Arabidopsis thaliana: one gene and its partner. The protein of the gene in region 1 interacts with the protein of each later gene in a pairwise test. Each region holds a gene or a part of one and is shown in the gene's direction. Other genes may lie near its edges.

What was found. Proteins that work in one complex are often made in the same cells at the same time.
Region 2: the proteins of SIRB (region 1) and HAM2 interact in a two-hybrid assay, tested with the Arabidopsis thaliana proteins (2 studies listed by BioGRID).

The regions. Positions count from the first base shown.
Region 1 is NC_003070.9:18,577,879-18,586,403, forward strand, and holds SIRB (sirohydrochlorin ferrochelatase B), read left to right. Parts: upstream 1-4,119; 5' UTR 4,120-4,208; coding exon 4,209-4,267; exon of another isoform or gene 4,268-4,330; coding exon of another isoform or gene 4,331-4,362; coding exon 4,363-4,604; intron 4,605-4,736; coding exon 4,737-4,798; intron 4,799-4,977; coding exon 4,978-5,088; intron 5,089-5,210; coding exon 5,211-5,303; coding exon of another isoform or gene 5,304-5,384; exon of another isoform or gene 5,385-5,525; coding exon 5,526-5,636; 3' UTR 5,637-5,954; downstream 5,955-8,525. Other genes in the region: AT1G50140 (P-loop containing nucleoside triphosphate hydrolases superfamily protein), read right to left, coding at 60-184, 274-785; AT1G50160 (ribonuclease H superfamily polynucleotidyl transferase), read left to right, coding at 3,551-3,772; AT1G50180 (NB-ARC domain-containing disease resistance protein), read left to right, coding at 6,357-7,239, 7,317-7,463, 7,538-8,196, 8,278-8,493. UniProt on the Arabidopsis thaliana protein: Chelates iron to the siroheme precursor. Catalyzes the last step of the siroheme biosynthesis.
Region 2 is NC_003074.8:22,406,961-22,415,971, reverse strand, and holds HAM2 (GRAS family transcription factor), read left to right. Parts: upstream 1-3,308; 5' UTR 3,309-3,604; coding exon 3,605-5,476; 3' UTR 5,477-5,732; downstream 5,733-9,011. Other genes in the region: CDS5 (cytidinediphosphate diacylglycerol synthase 5), read right to left, coding at 7,733-7,812, 7,884-7,999, 8,067-8,200, 8,277-8,401, 8,489-8,679, 8,762-9,011.

The DNA.
Region 1 (8,525 bases):
TGATATAAAAAAACAACGACATTAAAACAATGCAATGCATATTCTAGTCAACAAAAAACCTGGAACACTCTGGAGCAATATTCTCCCACTTGAAGAATCTAAACGAGCACCATATTTGGAAGTCATACTTTTTTGCTTAATATGTGAGCTAACACATTCCACCAGAGTATCTTTTGTGTGTTCGCTGGAGCAAATCAGAACATATCAGCAAAAAATGGAAATGACTAGAAGAAAGTAACACGATAACAGAAGGGAACAGTCTTTGGTTATTACTGGACGTAGTAAGGGAAAGACTCCCAAGAGAGCTGTATAGTTTCCCAAGGTTGAATTCTCCGCAAGAACTCATTCTTCAATCTTTCTCGTTTATTAAGAAAAGGTGACTCCTTTCTGCTTTCACTTGCACGCTTCTCATTGTTGAGCCATTCTATTTGGTCTTGTACTCCAAGTTGAGCGTGAGAATCAAAATGCTCAACACCGACCGTGCTCTTCTCTTTTCCCATCTTGTCTTTATTCAGAGGGAAACGGCTGTCCTCACTAGCATTATTTCCATCACCTTCAGAACTAAACCGACGCAATTGGCTATTCCAAGAATAACTTAAATAATCTCTAGAGGCAATAGCACCATGAGAATGATGGTTTCTTCTCAAATGATCTGTTAGTATACTTGTGGTGGATCTATAAGATTGGGAACCGGTGTGGTCACGAATCACTGGCCTAACTAAGCATTTGTCTTGCTGCAATACAAAACCCCATCTCTGGTTCCTTCTTATTGTCCTTGTATACATTGCAAGTTTCTTTCCTCAGTTCCAACGTCCAAGATCACTGCAAACCAAAAAAGATTCTTTAATTAAAAACAATCTAGAAAAAAAGAAAGAATACACGGCATAAGACAAATACCAAAACCAATGCCTAGATGGATTCTAGAAGCTCTAGAGTAAACTCAAGAAGAAACAACAACAATCTAGAACAACATGGATTCTAGAACTAGCTGTCACAGTTTCAGGAAACCATTTCCCAAAAAGTCCCAATTTCAGAAATCTGTGTTTATCAATGACAAAAAATGAACCTTAGCTGCATAATGAATCTCCATGAAAACACCTAATTCAAGTAAAATTAAGAAAGAATTTCTAGGTATTCTCGTGATTCGTTACCTAATTTAAGCTAACAGATACGGACAATATTAGTTTTGCTCATTCCATGTTAATATGTTCAGACTTGGAGGAAGAAGAAGATGAGAGAAACTCGCGACTCGCGACTCGCGAGAGAGAGAGAGAGACCGATTGTCGTAGGTTTCGAACTCTAGGCTTTGGCGTCTTACCTTTTAGCCCATCTTGTTTTCACTTTCAAATGGGCCCATTAAAAATCTAGGCACGACCTTTAAGCCTACCAAATCTTATTTTGGGTCAGCAGCCTATGTAAACCATCTTTTTTTGCTAAGAGTTACTACCACTACTATTGTATGGTTTCTGTAATGGTTACTTGATGTAATGTTGCTAGCTGAAACAAGATGTAATGCTAGCTTAGCAGTTAGTTTCTGTAATGGTTTTAAACATGATATGGACACTGAAACGGACTACTTATTGGGTCATTAACTCTGGATTCGACTACAGATTAACTGATTAAAATTTATGTAATGTATTTAATATTTATAGAGATTACATAGTTTTATAAATGTAAAACTAAAAATAATCATTATCATGTTTTACAAAATATGAAATCTCACGATAATAATAAAGTGATTAAAGTTTTAATCCATCTAAAACCGTAAAAATACTAAAATAGTAAAAGATTACCAATGACGAGAAATCAACTCATCGCAAATTCAATACAACTAAGCTGGATTGTCTCTTTCACGATTTCCTATATTTTATTTCAAAAGACCAAAATCAAATGAATTTCGTCAAATAAAAGTAAAACTTCTATAAATTAATAATATATATTGATAAGTTTATACAATTATTAATTTATGATACTGATGGACCATATAGTTACATAGAATTTTCAAACAAATTATTATTTTATGTTAAATATTACACTCGACAACTTGAGACCGAAAAATTTATTAATTCATAGTAATCACTAATTTATCAAATTATTTAAAAGTGAAACTTCAATTTACAATTGTACTTACTTCTTTTATTCACCTAATCTATTTGGATGTTGTATAACTGCTAAATCACGTTCACAATTACCGTAAATCTATTATCTTAGATTTAACTTTAGTGAAATATGCATATAGATAATAACAAATTTTAAGTTGATTTTCAATATTTAAATTTGTCATGTTGTATTATAGATTTTTTCGCAAATTGAAGAGTTTAATTTTAATAATACAAAACATTATTAATAAACTCACCTCTGGCCTTCATTACTTTTGGGTTTGTTGCTATTTGTGCTTAGATCTAAAACAATGAGCATAAACCAGATTACTTTCATTCTGTTGGAGTTCGAGGGACATCAAATTTTAGAATTTGGTTTAGTTTGGCTTGATCCTAATACAATGAATGTCACTAACAAGTGGAAGATTTCATCAAACTAGATGATGATTTGGTTCTCAATAACTTTATGGATCGACCAAGCGGTATCACTCGCAGAGATCTCGAACTCGCGAAGAATTGTTGTCAAACCTACAAGGGTATATATATTTGTCTCAATGGTTAGTTTACATGTGTTTTTGGTATTAGAAAATTTAAAGATTTCATTAAGTTTTGGTTTAAACTTACAAATTTTATTTTATCTCTCTCTTGTAATCTGAGAATCTAAACTTTGTTTTATCTTTATGAGAAATTTGGATTGGGCATAACATAATAAAATGTGACATTCAAAATTGAACCTAGTCATCAACAAAGATCTACTCAGGCAAGATATATGGTAGATACTTGTGTCTGGTTTGAGTAACAATTACACACTTCAACTGCAAAGGGTTGTAACGATAGGAAAATTTTGAATTGAATAATAAAAAAATTGAACATTATTCAACTCATTCCTCTACGAAATAGTAGATAATTAAGTTGAACAAATTTCCTTTGTAATTAGTTTATTTTCCAAAAATTTTGGTTGAATGATTTTTCCAACTTATTCATCTCAATGGTAAAAAATGATATGAATGATTTTTCAACTCTTTCAACTTCTTAGTTTGAGACAACTATTTGCACCATTGGACTAACAATTGAAAGATTGGCCACTCAAATAACAAATCAATTATAATATCCCAAGATATGTTTAAAACATATTATGAAACAAAGTACAACCACTATATAATATTTATACAAATCAAACTATTTATAAAATTAAAGTGATAAATTTATTGTCTAGAACGGATTCTCACATAGTACTATTTTAAAATAAAACTTCTAACTATTTTTATCAGTAGCATCATTTTTGGTACTAAATATTTGGAACTAAATTAACATATAGAAAAATTAGTGAGCCATTTAGTTGTTTAATAAGAAAATTGGACATTTTCAGGCTTCATCCTCTATTTGAATTTCAATGGATATTTTGAGAGAAATCTCTGGTTTTAATTTTAATTTTTACAGTCGTAGAGCTAATGAACAACAAAAAGATCAACTTTGGCTGCTGCAACTGGACAAGAGACGCTATGAAATGGCGACAACGATTTGAGGCAGCAGATGTCACATGGGTGTCAAGAACAAACAATGGACCAGCGGATCTTCTTGCAAAACATCGGCTACCAGATAATTGTTCGTTTCAATATCACTATTATGTTCCACCTTTCATTGTATCAGCCTTACATTGTAATCACTCTTGACTTGATTAATTGAAAAAAGTCGATAAAAAAAAAAATCTCTGGTTTTAATCCAAACATCTAAGAGGTCACACACTAGAGTCACATGCAGTGAACTGTCATAATTTTATCACATTATTGTGTTCTCCATCATGTAAAAAGGAGTGGTTCTTTTGTACGTGTTATTTGGTTGTATGTTCTCGGTCAAAAGCCCAATTGTGGGATGGCCCATTAATGATAAAGCCCCTTTTAATTTTAAAAAAACAAACAAAGCCGGCCTGAAATAATAATCGGGTCCCGGGTTGACTGGTCCGACCGACCGGTTCGGTGAGATATTAATGAATGTTTTTCTTCACTCTCCCGATTTCAATTTTTCGGGATCGAGTCCGTTCCGACAAATTAATTTAACAGTCAATGCCGGCAAAAAAAAAAAAAAATTAACAGTCAATTGGCGGCGAAGATGACGACTCAGTCGCAGTTCTTAGTGAACCTCTCTTACGGAGGCCTCGCCTCCCAAAGGTTCATCTTCCTTTCCTCTATACCCCTTCTATCGCTTTCTTCTGTTGTGTTGCTTTCTTCTGAATGATTTTTTTTTTGTCGATTTGTTTTTGTAGTAATCTCAGAGCGAATAATCGTGTTTCACCTTCTTCTTGTCAAATTACACGAACAAATCGCTCATGGGCATTACCAGTTTCCTTTAAAGTTGAGAAATTTCAACTCCAACGAGGAAGGAGGAGAAGAGGATCACCATGTTTTGGGGAGAGCGAAGGGTTGGTCAAAAATGGGATTGGTGATGCTGATGGGATTATAATTGTTGATCACGGTTCTCGTCGCCGTGAATCCAATCTTATGCTTGGTAATAGCTTTGTTTCTCTTCCTTCTCCTTCTTCATTTTCTTTGTTGTCCTTACTTTATTGTATAGTATACTTCCTTTACGGCTTTACCTTGTGCGAGTTTATGTAATTGTGTTGTTGTTTCTGTATTTCAGAGGAGTTTGTGAAAATGTTCAAAGAAAAAACTGGTTACCCAATTGTAGAGCCTGCTCATATGGTAACTCTTTCTAATGTTCTCACCTTTATGCATAGTGAGAACCATACCCATGAGTTTGATACAGTCTGATTTCCGTTTCTTGGTCATCTTTTGCATTTAGCTTAATATGTTCTATATCAGGAAATTAGATGACTTTCAAGCTCTGCTTGCTGTTTGCTGATTTTTACACTTTACATCAGGAATTGGCTGAGCCATCTATAAAAGATGCATTCAGTTTGTGTGTACAACAAGGGGCGAAACGTGTAGTTGTGAGCCCGTTTTTTCTATTTCCTGGAAGACATTGGCATACGGTATGGCTTTGTTCATCTCAATTTGTTTTGTTTTCTTGAAGCTTCTAGCTTTTCTTATTTATGGGATTATTGGAGGATGTACATTAATGGCCTAGTGAGATCATGACCCTTATTTGATTCAGGACATTCCCTCGTTGACGGCTGATGCTGCAAAGGAGTTCTCTGGCATCTCATACCTCATAACTGCACCTCTCGGCCCCCATAATCTCCTCCTGGTAAGTTATAAAGCATATTTTCCCCCCAAAACGAGCGAGCACTTTAAACCTAAGGGATGTGAGAGCATCCTCATGCATTAGTGAATGCCACTTTTTTCCCTTGAACTTCCAATGAGAGCATCCTCATGCATTAGGGATCTTCTGCTGTTTAATCTTCACAAGAGATCTGTTCTTCTTTTGGCTCTTGATCTTTCAGTAATCTACTAATATTTCTTTCTGCAGGACGTTGTAAATGACAGAATCCAACATTGCTTGAGCCATGTTGAAGGTGATGCTGACGAGTGTCTTGTTTGTGCTGGAACAAATAAGTGCAAGCTCTACAATAGTTCTTAGGTGTACATGTAAGAACGTTTTTGTATATCTGCTCATCTTCTCTAACCTTCGGATGCGGGAAAAAAAGGAGGCATAGTATATTGTTCATACTCATCATTTAGTACGCGTCCTATGTTTCAACAAGGGAGTTTTGAGATTTATGTTCTTTTCTTCTTATTGCAGACCAATTTGAAAGACTACGATAATATAATAAAAGCTGTCTGTTAAATGTTGTCTCTCCCTCTTATCAACAAATTAAGAAATTGAAATTTGATGTATCGTATATCAGCAATGTTTCATGGTTATAAAAAAAATAGAAGTTTCTCTCGATGCTTTTTCTGGCCTCCTTTTTCTTTTCTTATTGGGTTTCGTGCATTGCATTTGTTGAACCACAAGGCAGAGACCATTTTTCCTTATTGTAACTTCTGCAGGTAAAGATAAGAGGGAAAACGTGTGGTTGTAGGAGATAGCAAAGACTTTTGAATGTCTCCCACCAAATTCTGATGAATGAATATGTGGATGTGGTATTTCATGGACCAGCACAAAAGAGCATTTCAAGAAGTCGTTTGGTAGCTGTACCATCTAATTATGTTCACATGATGCTGAGAGTTGAATAATTCAGAAAGGGACAAAGAGTGTTATGATTGCGTTGACTTGGAGTCATGTTTCATGAAGGTAGTGCGTAGTTGACTCTTTTCTAGTGTAGGAGGTAGAGATTTGGGAGAGTCACTAGAACACGAAATGGCAGAGGCTATTGTTTCTGTTACAGTGCAGAAGCTAGGACAGTTGCTCTTGGAAGAACCGTTGTTCTTATTTGGTATAGGTGACCAAGTGAAGCAGCTGCAAGACGAATTGAAGCGTTTGAATTGCTTTTTGAAAGATGCAGATGAGAAGCAGCATGAAAGCGAGAGAGTGCGTAACTGGGTTGCAGGCATTAGAGAAGCTTCTTATGATGCAGAGGATATCCTCGAGGCATTTTTCCTCAAAGCAGAATCAAGGAAACAAAAAGGGATGAAAAGGGTGCTTAGGAGGCTTGCTTGCATCTTGAACGAAGCGGTTTCACTTCATAGTGTTGGCTCAGAGATTAGAGAGATCACCTCCAGGCTTTCTAAGATAGCAGCAAGCATGCTAGATTTTGGTATAAAAGAATCTATGGGCAGAGAAGGTTTGAGTTTGTCTGATAGTCTAAGAGAACAGAGGCAATCGTTTCCATATGTTGTTGAGCATAATCTTGTTGGGTTAGAGCAGAGTCTAGAGAAGTTGGTGAATGATTTAGTTTCCGGAGGTGAGAAACTAAGAGTCACGTCCATCTGCGGAATGGGTGGTTTGGGGAAAACAACTTTAGCCAAACAGATTTTCCATCACCATAAAGTGAGGCGTCATTTCGATAGATTTGCTTGGGTATATGTTTCTCAAGACTGTAGACGGAGACATGTTTGGCAAGACATTTTTCTGAATCTCAGCTACAAGGATGAAAATCAGAGAATACTCAGCTTGAGGGATGAACAACTTGGAGAGGAGTTGCATCGGTTCTTGAAAAGGAATAAATGCCTCATTGTGCTTGATGATATCTGGGGCAAAGATGCTTGGGATTGTCTGAAACACGTCTTTCCACATGAAACAGGTAAACTAGTAGTGTTAAGATACAACTAATGTTCTATAATCCTTGTCATTTTTATAGGCTAGTAGTATCTACTGTAGGAAGCGAAATAATCCTCACTACTCGGAACAAGGAAGTCGCTTTATATGCTGATCCCAGGGGTGTGCTTCATGAGCCACAATTGCTAACATGTGAAGAGAGTTGGGAGCTGTTGGAGAAAATTTCATTATCTGGAAGAGAAAATATAGGTAATCATTTGGCTCTATTCTTTCTGCAGCATATATACTATCATACTTCACACACTTATTCACCTGATATGCAGAGCCAATGTTGGTCAAGAAAATGGAGGAGATTGGGAAGCAGATAGTTGTAAGGTGTGGAGGTTTACCTCTAGCTATAACAGTTCTTGGAGGACTTCTGGCAACGAAAAGTACATGGAACGAGTGGCAAAGAGTATGCGAGAACATCAAATCATATGTTTCAAATGGAGGTAGTAGCAATGGAAGTAAGAACATGCTAGTTGCAGATGTTTTGTGCTTGAGTTACGAGTACTTGCCTCCCCATGTAAAGCAATGTTTCCTCTACTTTGCTCATTATCCTGAAGACTATGAGGTTCATGTGGGAACACTAGTTAGTTATTGCATCGCAGAGGGAATGGTTATGCCTGTAAAACACACAGAGGCTGGCACGACAGTGGAAGATGTCGGGCAAGATTATCTTGAGGAATTAGTAAAGAGAAGCATGGTTATGGTTGGGAGGAGGGACATTGTAACTTCGGAAGTCATGACATGCCGTATGCATGACCTCATGAGGGAGGTGTGTTTACAGAAGGCAAAGCAAGAAAGCTTTGTGCAAGTTATTGATTCAAGGGATCAAGATGAAGCTGAGGCTTTTATATCTCTTTCGACCAATACATCTCGTAGAATTTCTGTCCAACTACATGGTGGAGCAGAGGAGCACCATATCAAGAGTCTGTCGCAGGTGAACTACATAAATCCTCGATCTAGATCTCTTGTGTGAATTATAAAGAATCAAGGAAGTTCATGGGCACTTTTGGGTAAGGTTTCCTTCAGAAAGATGAAACTTCTTCGAGTTCTAGATCTTGAGGGAGCTCAAATCGAGGGAGGGAAGTTGCCAGACGATGTAGGAGATCTCATCCATTTGAGGAACCTGAGCGTGAGATTGACAAACGTGAAGGAACTTACATCATCTATTGGAAACTTAAAGTTGATGATTACTCTAGACTTGTTCGTGAAAGGGCAACTGTATATTCCAAACGTGTAATGGAAGCTGCATCGGCTGAGACATTT
Region 2 (9,011 bases), on another chromosome or scaffold:
TCTTGTAGAAATCAAACATAAATTATATGCATAAACGAAATCAAATCGGAGAAAACTTACCTCTCTGGATTATGCGACTTGGTTAAGATCAAAAACTTTGGATTCGACTTTGTGTGATTCAATTAATCTTCGACTGCGATCGTCACAGTTATATGTGTATATATACAATTCGTGTAACCTTTTCCTTTTTTGTTTACCGAAAGATTATCGAATTAGTGAATGACACGTCAGCTGATAATTTAATTTAATCAATGCAAACCAAAAATCGAGGTAAATTAGCATGATTTAAGGAAATGTTTAAGTGATGTTGTTACCAAATACAATTGTAGTGGTTATTTATGCACTAAGGCCCATAACTAGTTAATAATAACTCATTACTCTATGAAGCCCATTATAAGTCTTCCGTATATTTGTTTTCATAGAAGATAAGAAACCCAGCCCAACGTTTTTTTTTTTTTTGGTGGTTCAGCTGAGATCAAACCAGCAGGACATATCTAAACCAGAAGTTTTTTCTGTATTAAAAGGTCAATAACTAAAGTTTAAGGACAAAAAATCTACATTGTTGAATGTTGATCATTCAAATTTGTAAGATCGTATACTTAAAATATAGTTTTAAGAGATTGTATATCATAATCCTTGACTTCAAATCAACGATGGATCAAAACTAGCTTTTTTTTATTGAACTTTTAATAGTCAACAGAATTGAAAACTGATTTATGATAGTCATTAAGATTCTAGCACAATATCCACACTAGTTCCAGGCTCGTAGCTTACGTAACGTAACCTATATGGTTATCATATACTTTTGAGGAACTCTCCCAGTAATTAAGTCATTGAAAACCAGTAGTGCCATGCGGCGGTAGGACTTTTTCGTCTAATTGTTTTTTGTAGGTTAACAATGGTTCAAACACTAATAATTTATATAGTTTCACCAAACAATTAAAGATAATACTACATGGTTGTGTTGGTTGTTGTATTGACAAATTATAAGTTCATACAATCTATCACTATCTTTACTTTTTCTTTTGTTTCCGCCGTCACTGTATCTATCCGCTAAGCGAGACAAATTTTTATCGTTTGTGTTGTAATGTGTCTCCTAAATATATAGTTGATCTAATTAATAATATATAAACCAACCAAAATGTGACATGCTTTGTTATGAATAAGAAAAAGTTACATTGTCCTTGTTTAGTGTTTGTGATTTGATTAAGATATTATGATATGACATGATTCACATAAGTTAACCCCACTAGCATTCCTGAACATAAAAATTGAAAACTTTAAATAAAGAGAAAACAGAAAGCTTTGCCCGTGAGTCGAGGTTAGCAAAGGAGACTATATACCGTCTATTTTGAGGACTTTAAGTTTATTTTGGGAAATTAGCAAATCTAAAAACATAGTGGAAGTGAATTGCAAATATGACATTTGACATAAACTGAGATAATTTGGTTACAGGGTTAATATATTTCTACATCGAAGTTAATTTTTTTACTTGTTTTATATCACTGTAACCAAATTACATGAATTTCCGTGAAACCGAATCACGAGTATGTATGCAAGGTAACACACGGTCGATGTGTCCCTCCACTAGCCAGTCATCAACCTATAGAATGTATAGAATGAGTTGATTAAATTACGCAAATTGGTCATTTTTTAATCCTAAAATATAACAACAAAGCAGAAAGAAATACTAGTTTAATAGAATACATGTTGTTAGACATATTACAAGGTGGTGGAAATTCACATGGAGGTTTCTTGTTTGTCTTGGAGGAAAAAAAACATGTCTCCCATTATTACAATGTCCAATTACAAAGATTTTTGTTTTTATATTATTTTGGCTTAAAAAATAGAAATATGTTTAGGGCAATCACATAAGCCATGTCTCCCTTCCATTCACACACAAACTACCAAAAGTTCCAACTTGTCTTCGCAATCCAGCTCCACCTCTTTTCTTTTTAATCTCCTTTTGGTATCCTCTATTCTATTACCGCCACCAATAAACGGCCACTTAAGTATTTCAAGTTTGTCAAAGAAGTGAAAAAAAGAAGAAGAAATGATATAGATGATTTTAGAAAAGAATGGTGGAATAAAACGATTTGATTATCGCAAACACGTGTAAACATCAACTAACATAGGCTAAAGATTTGTCATAATTTTAGTTTTGACCGTGTCTACTTGTCGTTCAAAATTAAACTTGATTAGCAAATGCAAGATTTTATAGTCAATATGTCATTTATTAGTTAGTTTATAAAAAATCTAGACTAGAGCCATGAGATCTTCTCCAGAGTTCATGCAATTTCAACCGTTAGATAAAAAAAAAAAACAGAGTGTGTTAATAGAAAGCAAGGGTAATTATGGAAAACAATGATTAACAATAAAGCCATCTGTATCAAATTCGCTTTTTGCTCTGAAACCTCGGTATATGTTTTTGATTTTTTTAATAGTACTGTCTTTCAGATTGATCGTTATCTAACGCGCCTCAACAGTTCTGGACTATTGAATTACTTACTGTAAGACAATCAACTAATAACTGACTCTTTTAGGTTTTTGGGTTTCGACAATTCAATTTATTTTCTTTCTTTTCTTCATACTCCTATTACTTATTTAGTTTGATCTAATGAATTATACACTATATGATCCCATATTCTTAATAAATAAGTAAATAATTTTGACTATTTTAAGTATTTTTACGATTTCGCTCTCAAAATGTTTTTTACCTGTAATTTCAAAAATAAATTTGACACATCCTTTTTTTTTTGTCAAACATTTGACACATCCTTTAAGTAAACAAATCTATTGGTTTGAAGAAAAAAGAACAAAAATCTTTTGGTTCATTTTCATTTGACCCTTGACTTAGTTTTTATACATATATAATGAAGTATATTTTTACTATCATACTATTTAATATAAAACATGTTACTGCACATATATATTAAATCACCCAATTGCTATTTCACTAAATAACAAATTATTTTACAAGATGCAAGTTTATTTTATAAATCGAACAAAATTTACGAAAAATGTAGAATAGTAATTTTGTCGATATGCATAAAATTTATTGGTTTCCTTGTTTTTTTTTTCCTCAATCCAGTGTTTTCCTTATTTATTATGTTGTCATCATAGTAATTTAGTCAATTTATGATTAAGGCTAAATTTATTCGATTAATGACACTTTGATTTCGATTTTCATGGCTTAAACTTATATAATCAATGATCTCTTGGAGAGTAAGAGTGACGCGCCGTAAGTGCGAGTAGGGTTAGAAACGAGGGGATATAAAATGAGTACAGATGTAGATAAGTAAATCTACAGACACAAGGCACCACACACACAGCAAAAACCAAATCCTTTACTTAAAAAAAAAAAAAAGAGAGCATTTTTTATGAAGATCATCACTTTGGAATGTTGTTGGAATCATCCAGAGTCAATATACATAAGCAACGAGAAGAAAGATTGTTATTAATACCGAGTGTGAGATAATGTGGGCGCCAATTTCAGTTTCAAGCTTTCATCTTCGTCTTCCTCTTTAAGTTCTGAGATCTAGGGTTTTTCTGGGTTTCTTTGTTCTCACTCTTAAATTCTCTTTCTGACTCTGTAAGATTGGTCATGCCCCTGCCCTTTGAGCAATTTCAAGGGAAGGGGGTTCTGGGTTTCTTAGATTCTTCTTCTTCTCCGGGATACAAAATCTGGGCTAATCCAGAGAAGCTCCATGGACGAGTAGAAGAAGATCTCTGCTTTGTTGTCAACAATGGTGGTTTCTCGGAGCCGACGTCTGTTTTAGACTCTGTTAGAAGTCCAAGCCCTTTCGTCTCTTCTTCAACCACCACGCTGTCTTCTTCTCACGGTGGTCCCAGCGGCGGCGGCGCTGCTGCTGCTACTTTTTCCGGCGCCGATGGGAAATGCGACCAAATGGGTTTCGAGGATCTCGATGGTGTTCTCTCCGGTGGCTCGCCGGGACAAGAACAGAGTATTTTTAGATTAATCATGGCTGGCGATGTAGTGGATCCGGGTTCGGAGTTTGTGGGTTTCGACATCGGTTCTGGATCCGACCCGGTTATTGATAATCCTAATCCACTCTTTGGATATGGCTTCCCTTTTCAAAACGCACCGGAAGAAGAAAAGTTTCAGATTTCAATAAACCCAAATCCGGGTTTCTTCTCGGATCCTCCGTCGTCTCCTCCTGCGAAACGGCTCAATTCGGGTCAACCCGGATCTCAACACCTCCAGTGGGTTTTCCCGTTCTCGGATCCGGGTCACGAATCTCACGACCCGTTTCTCACACCGCCAAAGATAGCCGGAGAAGACCAAAACGACCAAGACCAGTCAGCGGTAATCATCGACCAGCTATTCTCTGCGGCGGCGGAGCTCACCACAAACGGCGGAGATAACAATCCCGTTCTCGCGCAAGGGATATTGGCGCGGCTCAATCACAACCTTAACAACAACAACGACGACACTAACAACAATCCTAAACCTCCGTTCCACAGAGCAGCTTCGTATATAACAGAAGCTCTTCACTCTCTCCTTCAAGACTCATCATTATCACCACCGTCTCTCTCACCTCCTCAAAACCTAATCTTTCGGATCGCAGCTTACAGAGCTTTCTCAGAAACGTCACCGTTTCTTCAATTCGTCAACTTCACAGCAAACCAAACGATTCTCGAGTCATTCGAAGGGTTTGATCGGATCCACATTGTCGATTTCGATATCGGTTATGGAGGTCAATGGGCGTCTCTGATTCAAGAGCTCGCCGGAAAAAGAAACAGATCTTCATCAGCTCCGTCGCTAAAGATTACAGCTTTCGCTTCTCCTTCAACTGTCTCCGACGAATTCGAGCTCCGATTCACTGAAGAAAATCTCAGAAGCTTCGCCGGCGAAACAGGTGTCTCCTTCGAAATCGAGCTCTTAAACATGGAGATTCTCTTGAATCCAACTTATTGGCCACTGTCTTTATTCCGATCATCGGAGAAAGAAGCAATCGCTGTGAATCTCCCAATCAGCTCCATGGTCTCCGGTTACCTCCCATTGATACTTCGTTTCCTCAAGCAAATCTCACCAAACGTCGTCGTTTGCTCAGACAGAAGCTGCGACCGTAACAACGACGCGCCGTTCCCTAACGGTGTGATTAACGCGCTTCAGTACTACACATCTCTGCTCGAGTCTCTCGACTCTGGGAATCTGAATAATGCGGAAGCTGCTACGAGTATTGAGAGGTTTTGTGTGCAACCGTCGATACAGAAACTGTTGACGAATCGTTACCGTTGGATGGAGAGATCACCGCCGTGGAGAAGCTTATTTGGGCAATGTGGGTTTACTCCTGTGACGCTGAGTCAGACGGCGGAGACACAAGCGGAGTATTTGTTGCAGAGGAATCCAATGAGAGGGTTTCACTTGGAGAAGAGACAGTCTTCGTCGCCTTCACTTGTCTTGTGTTGGCAGAGGAAAGAACTTGTTACTGTCTCAGCTTGGAAATGTTAAGACGAAAAAGGAGGATATTTTCACGGTTTAATTTTCTTTTTGTAGCTTTTCAATTTGGGTTAGATCACGTTTTAATATGTTTGATTGTGATGTTAACCAATCAAATGATATATATATAATCTCCTTATGTTAGTCTTTCTTTTTTTTCCTTTTTATATTTCTGCATACTGAGATATGGATCCTTTAATACTTCATTTTTTAAGAGACAGAAGATTTGACATGTAATATGTTATAGGTACTAAAGATTAAGAGGTTTCTCAAAAAAAAAAAAAAAAAACTAAAACTTAAGCTGCCTTACACAAATTTCATTTTTCTCTTGGAAGGTCGACTATACTAAATTCGTAGTTCTTTATTCAAATACTAAGCATAGTAGTAATCCTTAACCTTAATCTAACAAACGAACACTGATAAATAAGAGATTTGTGGAGAAAGCTCTAAACCAATGCAAAAAAACTCAATCAGATCCTCAAAATGTCTTGGAATTCGAACGTGTAACCAAGAGGGTAACCAGGAGGGTCTTTGGCAGTAGCAGCGTTTATAAGTTTAGTCTTGCATTTTGGAAGTTTTTCCATGAAGATAGTAATTCCACAAGCTCTTAATAACCGGATCGGTCTTTTGAAATCGATGTCCCCCGTGATGACCATGATGTTGCAAGGAGTTTGGAAATTGGATGTGATGATATTGGCTTGTGCTGGCAAATCATCCGGCGATGTCGTGTTTACTCTCATACCTAACTTTAAAAACAAAACAAAAAGATGTAAATGATTATTGTATGCGTTTGTGAAAGTGAATCAACATAATCTTAAACAGTGGAGAAAGCTCATCAAAATAGAGTTCAAAACCACAACAGTAAATAAACATCATTTATAAATCATATTTGTACAACGATCCCGACTAACAATTTCATACACCTTAACACACAGAGCAGGCAAATAAAATATCAAACCTAAATTTCAATTACTTGTACGGGTCAAAACAGGTCACAAATACTAATTAGCAAGTATTTGCCTTGTAACGAGTCCTACACATATTTACGAAGCAAAAACTGTCATTTTTACTCACAGTGTCCCCATATAAAAATGTGGAGGTGAGTGTACCTCAAACAATTGTTTTGTGTTCTCTATATCCCACAGTACATGGAAACATAGTTTTCTAAAAATTATTATTAAAAAAATGATATTTCAGGGAATAATTTTCTTTTTAGCTTTTTAATTTAGATAATATCATGTTTTAATATGTTTGAGTGTAATGTTAACCAATCAGATAATATATATATAATTTCCTTATGTTATTCTTACTTTTTCCTTTTTTATTTTTCTGCATATTGAAATATGTTTCCTTTACCTTTATTATGGAGTATATTTTATCATTTTCCTTGAAATGTTTGTTAGAGACATACAATTTACCATGTGTTAATTAGGTCTACTAAAAATTTAAGCTAATGGTAAACAAACTTCATATTACTAAACTATGTATTAACTTGTGTTTTGGGGTTAATGTTGTAAACGATGAGATAACTTGTGTTTAAAGACTTTTTACCTTTTTAGTATAGTAAAGAGATTGCGTAATACGAGTTTTGTCCGTGTAATCAATCACATGGTCCTCGCAGAATTGCTGCTTAGATTTGATATTATCATAATACGACCACTTTATTACTTATTAATCAACCACTTTAGTAAGATTCTGCAGTGAAATTGTGAAAGTATAACATTTGTTTATTGTATTGGATAACAAAATCCACCCATGTCTTTCCTCTTCCCAATCATTTCTTAATTTTCGCCTCTTTATTAGTATCATTGATATTTGATTATTCATTTACATAGTTTCCTTTTTTCATTTCAGATTTTTTTTATAATTGCACTCTAAAAAGTCTGCTTGGGAACAACGCTTTCATTAACATCCCCACATGATTTTAGGCCTTTTTCCTTTAATCCATTATCTGGAAAACAGGAGGAAATTATTTTGGAAAGTAAATCAAGAATGAATCTCTAAATCAATTACCAAACGCCGCCGTTCCATTACCGGTCAGGCAAGACAGACCAACGGTCCGAGAATTCGCCTAACGAACCAGTTTACTCGCATTTAACCAAAAATTGCATACCGGTTCAATCAAACAACAGAACAGACCAATCTCAGAAAATCTGCAGCCATTTCACCATCATTGCTATATGTTGCTTTGAACTTCACTCTTGCGAGGGGAAAACTTTGTCAGTTTCTTCTTGAAGCTATATGTTTTCTTGGGATACAGCAATACAATCAAACTCCATGAAGTCTTACGAACGAGTAGGCTAATGCACCAGTGAAAATGTAACTATCAACTCTGTCCAATATGCCACCTGCAATTACAGAGGACTCGGTTAGAGAGGCAATGATAGACAAATTCCGGTCTGGTTTGACGTGTCATTACCGTGTCCAGGGATGAGTGAGCCGGAGTCTTTGACACCCGCATCACGTTTGATCATTGACTCAGTTAAGTCACCAAAGACCGATCCGAAGAAGTTAAGAACTCCAAAAGCTATGGTGCTGTTTAAATCGAACCAGTCAGAATAAAGACATAATAGACTCCAGGAATTCTATAGGATTTGAGTACCTGACAAGAGATTGAGGCCAGGACAACGATTTGGAGAGTAAAATGGTAATGGAAATACAACCAACAAGTCCTGCAAAAGCTCCTTCCCATGTCTTCTTTGGACTAATGCTAATAAGAGGAGTTCTACCAAATGCCTGCAACATTAGTTGATTAACTTCAGCCAGGAGAAGTTCTTGCGAGACTATATGCATGCCCTGAAAAGATACATACCTTGCCACCAAGAAAAGCAAACGTGTCTGAGGCAATTATACCACAGAAAGAAATCAATATAGCAACAAGTCCAACTGTCCAATGTGCTTGGCCGCCGAGGATAGTAGGCCAGCTTCTCCCAATTCCTATAAGTAATTAAACTGCTCAGGAGACTTGGCTTTGATTACTTTACGGATCAAAGCTAGGAAAGATAATAATAAGGGAGTGCTTGCCGGTGTTTAGAACTGGAGCAGTAAGACCACAACGTAGCTTAACCCAGAAACAAGGAAGATATCCACAGTAAAACAGGCCAAACATCGTACTACTCAGCTGAGAAAAACGCGGGTTTCCTCTCTGTAACAACAATGCCATTGCAACAACAAACGCCGCTGAAGTTATCGAGATATCTATATGACCAAAATACCTACAAAAAAGATAAAACCTTTATTCAGAACAAGAGAAAAGATCACAGGCTTTTGCGGTGTTTACTGACTGAAACTACTCACAATGTAAGTATGGGCATAAGAGCACAGATAATGGAGCAGACTCTAGAAAGATATCGTGGAGGAGGTGTCATTCCTTGAGCAATTCCTTTACTTCTCACCAGCTCGAAATATTCCCGGGCACTTAGAAGAACCGCAGCTGCTACTGCTACTGTGAATACCCATCCTCCAGCTAATACAATACCTCCTACAGACAATCCAATTCCTAGACCGAAAGTTACTCTTTTCTTAAACTGGCTTCTAGATTTTTGCT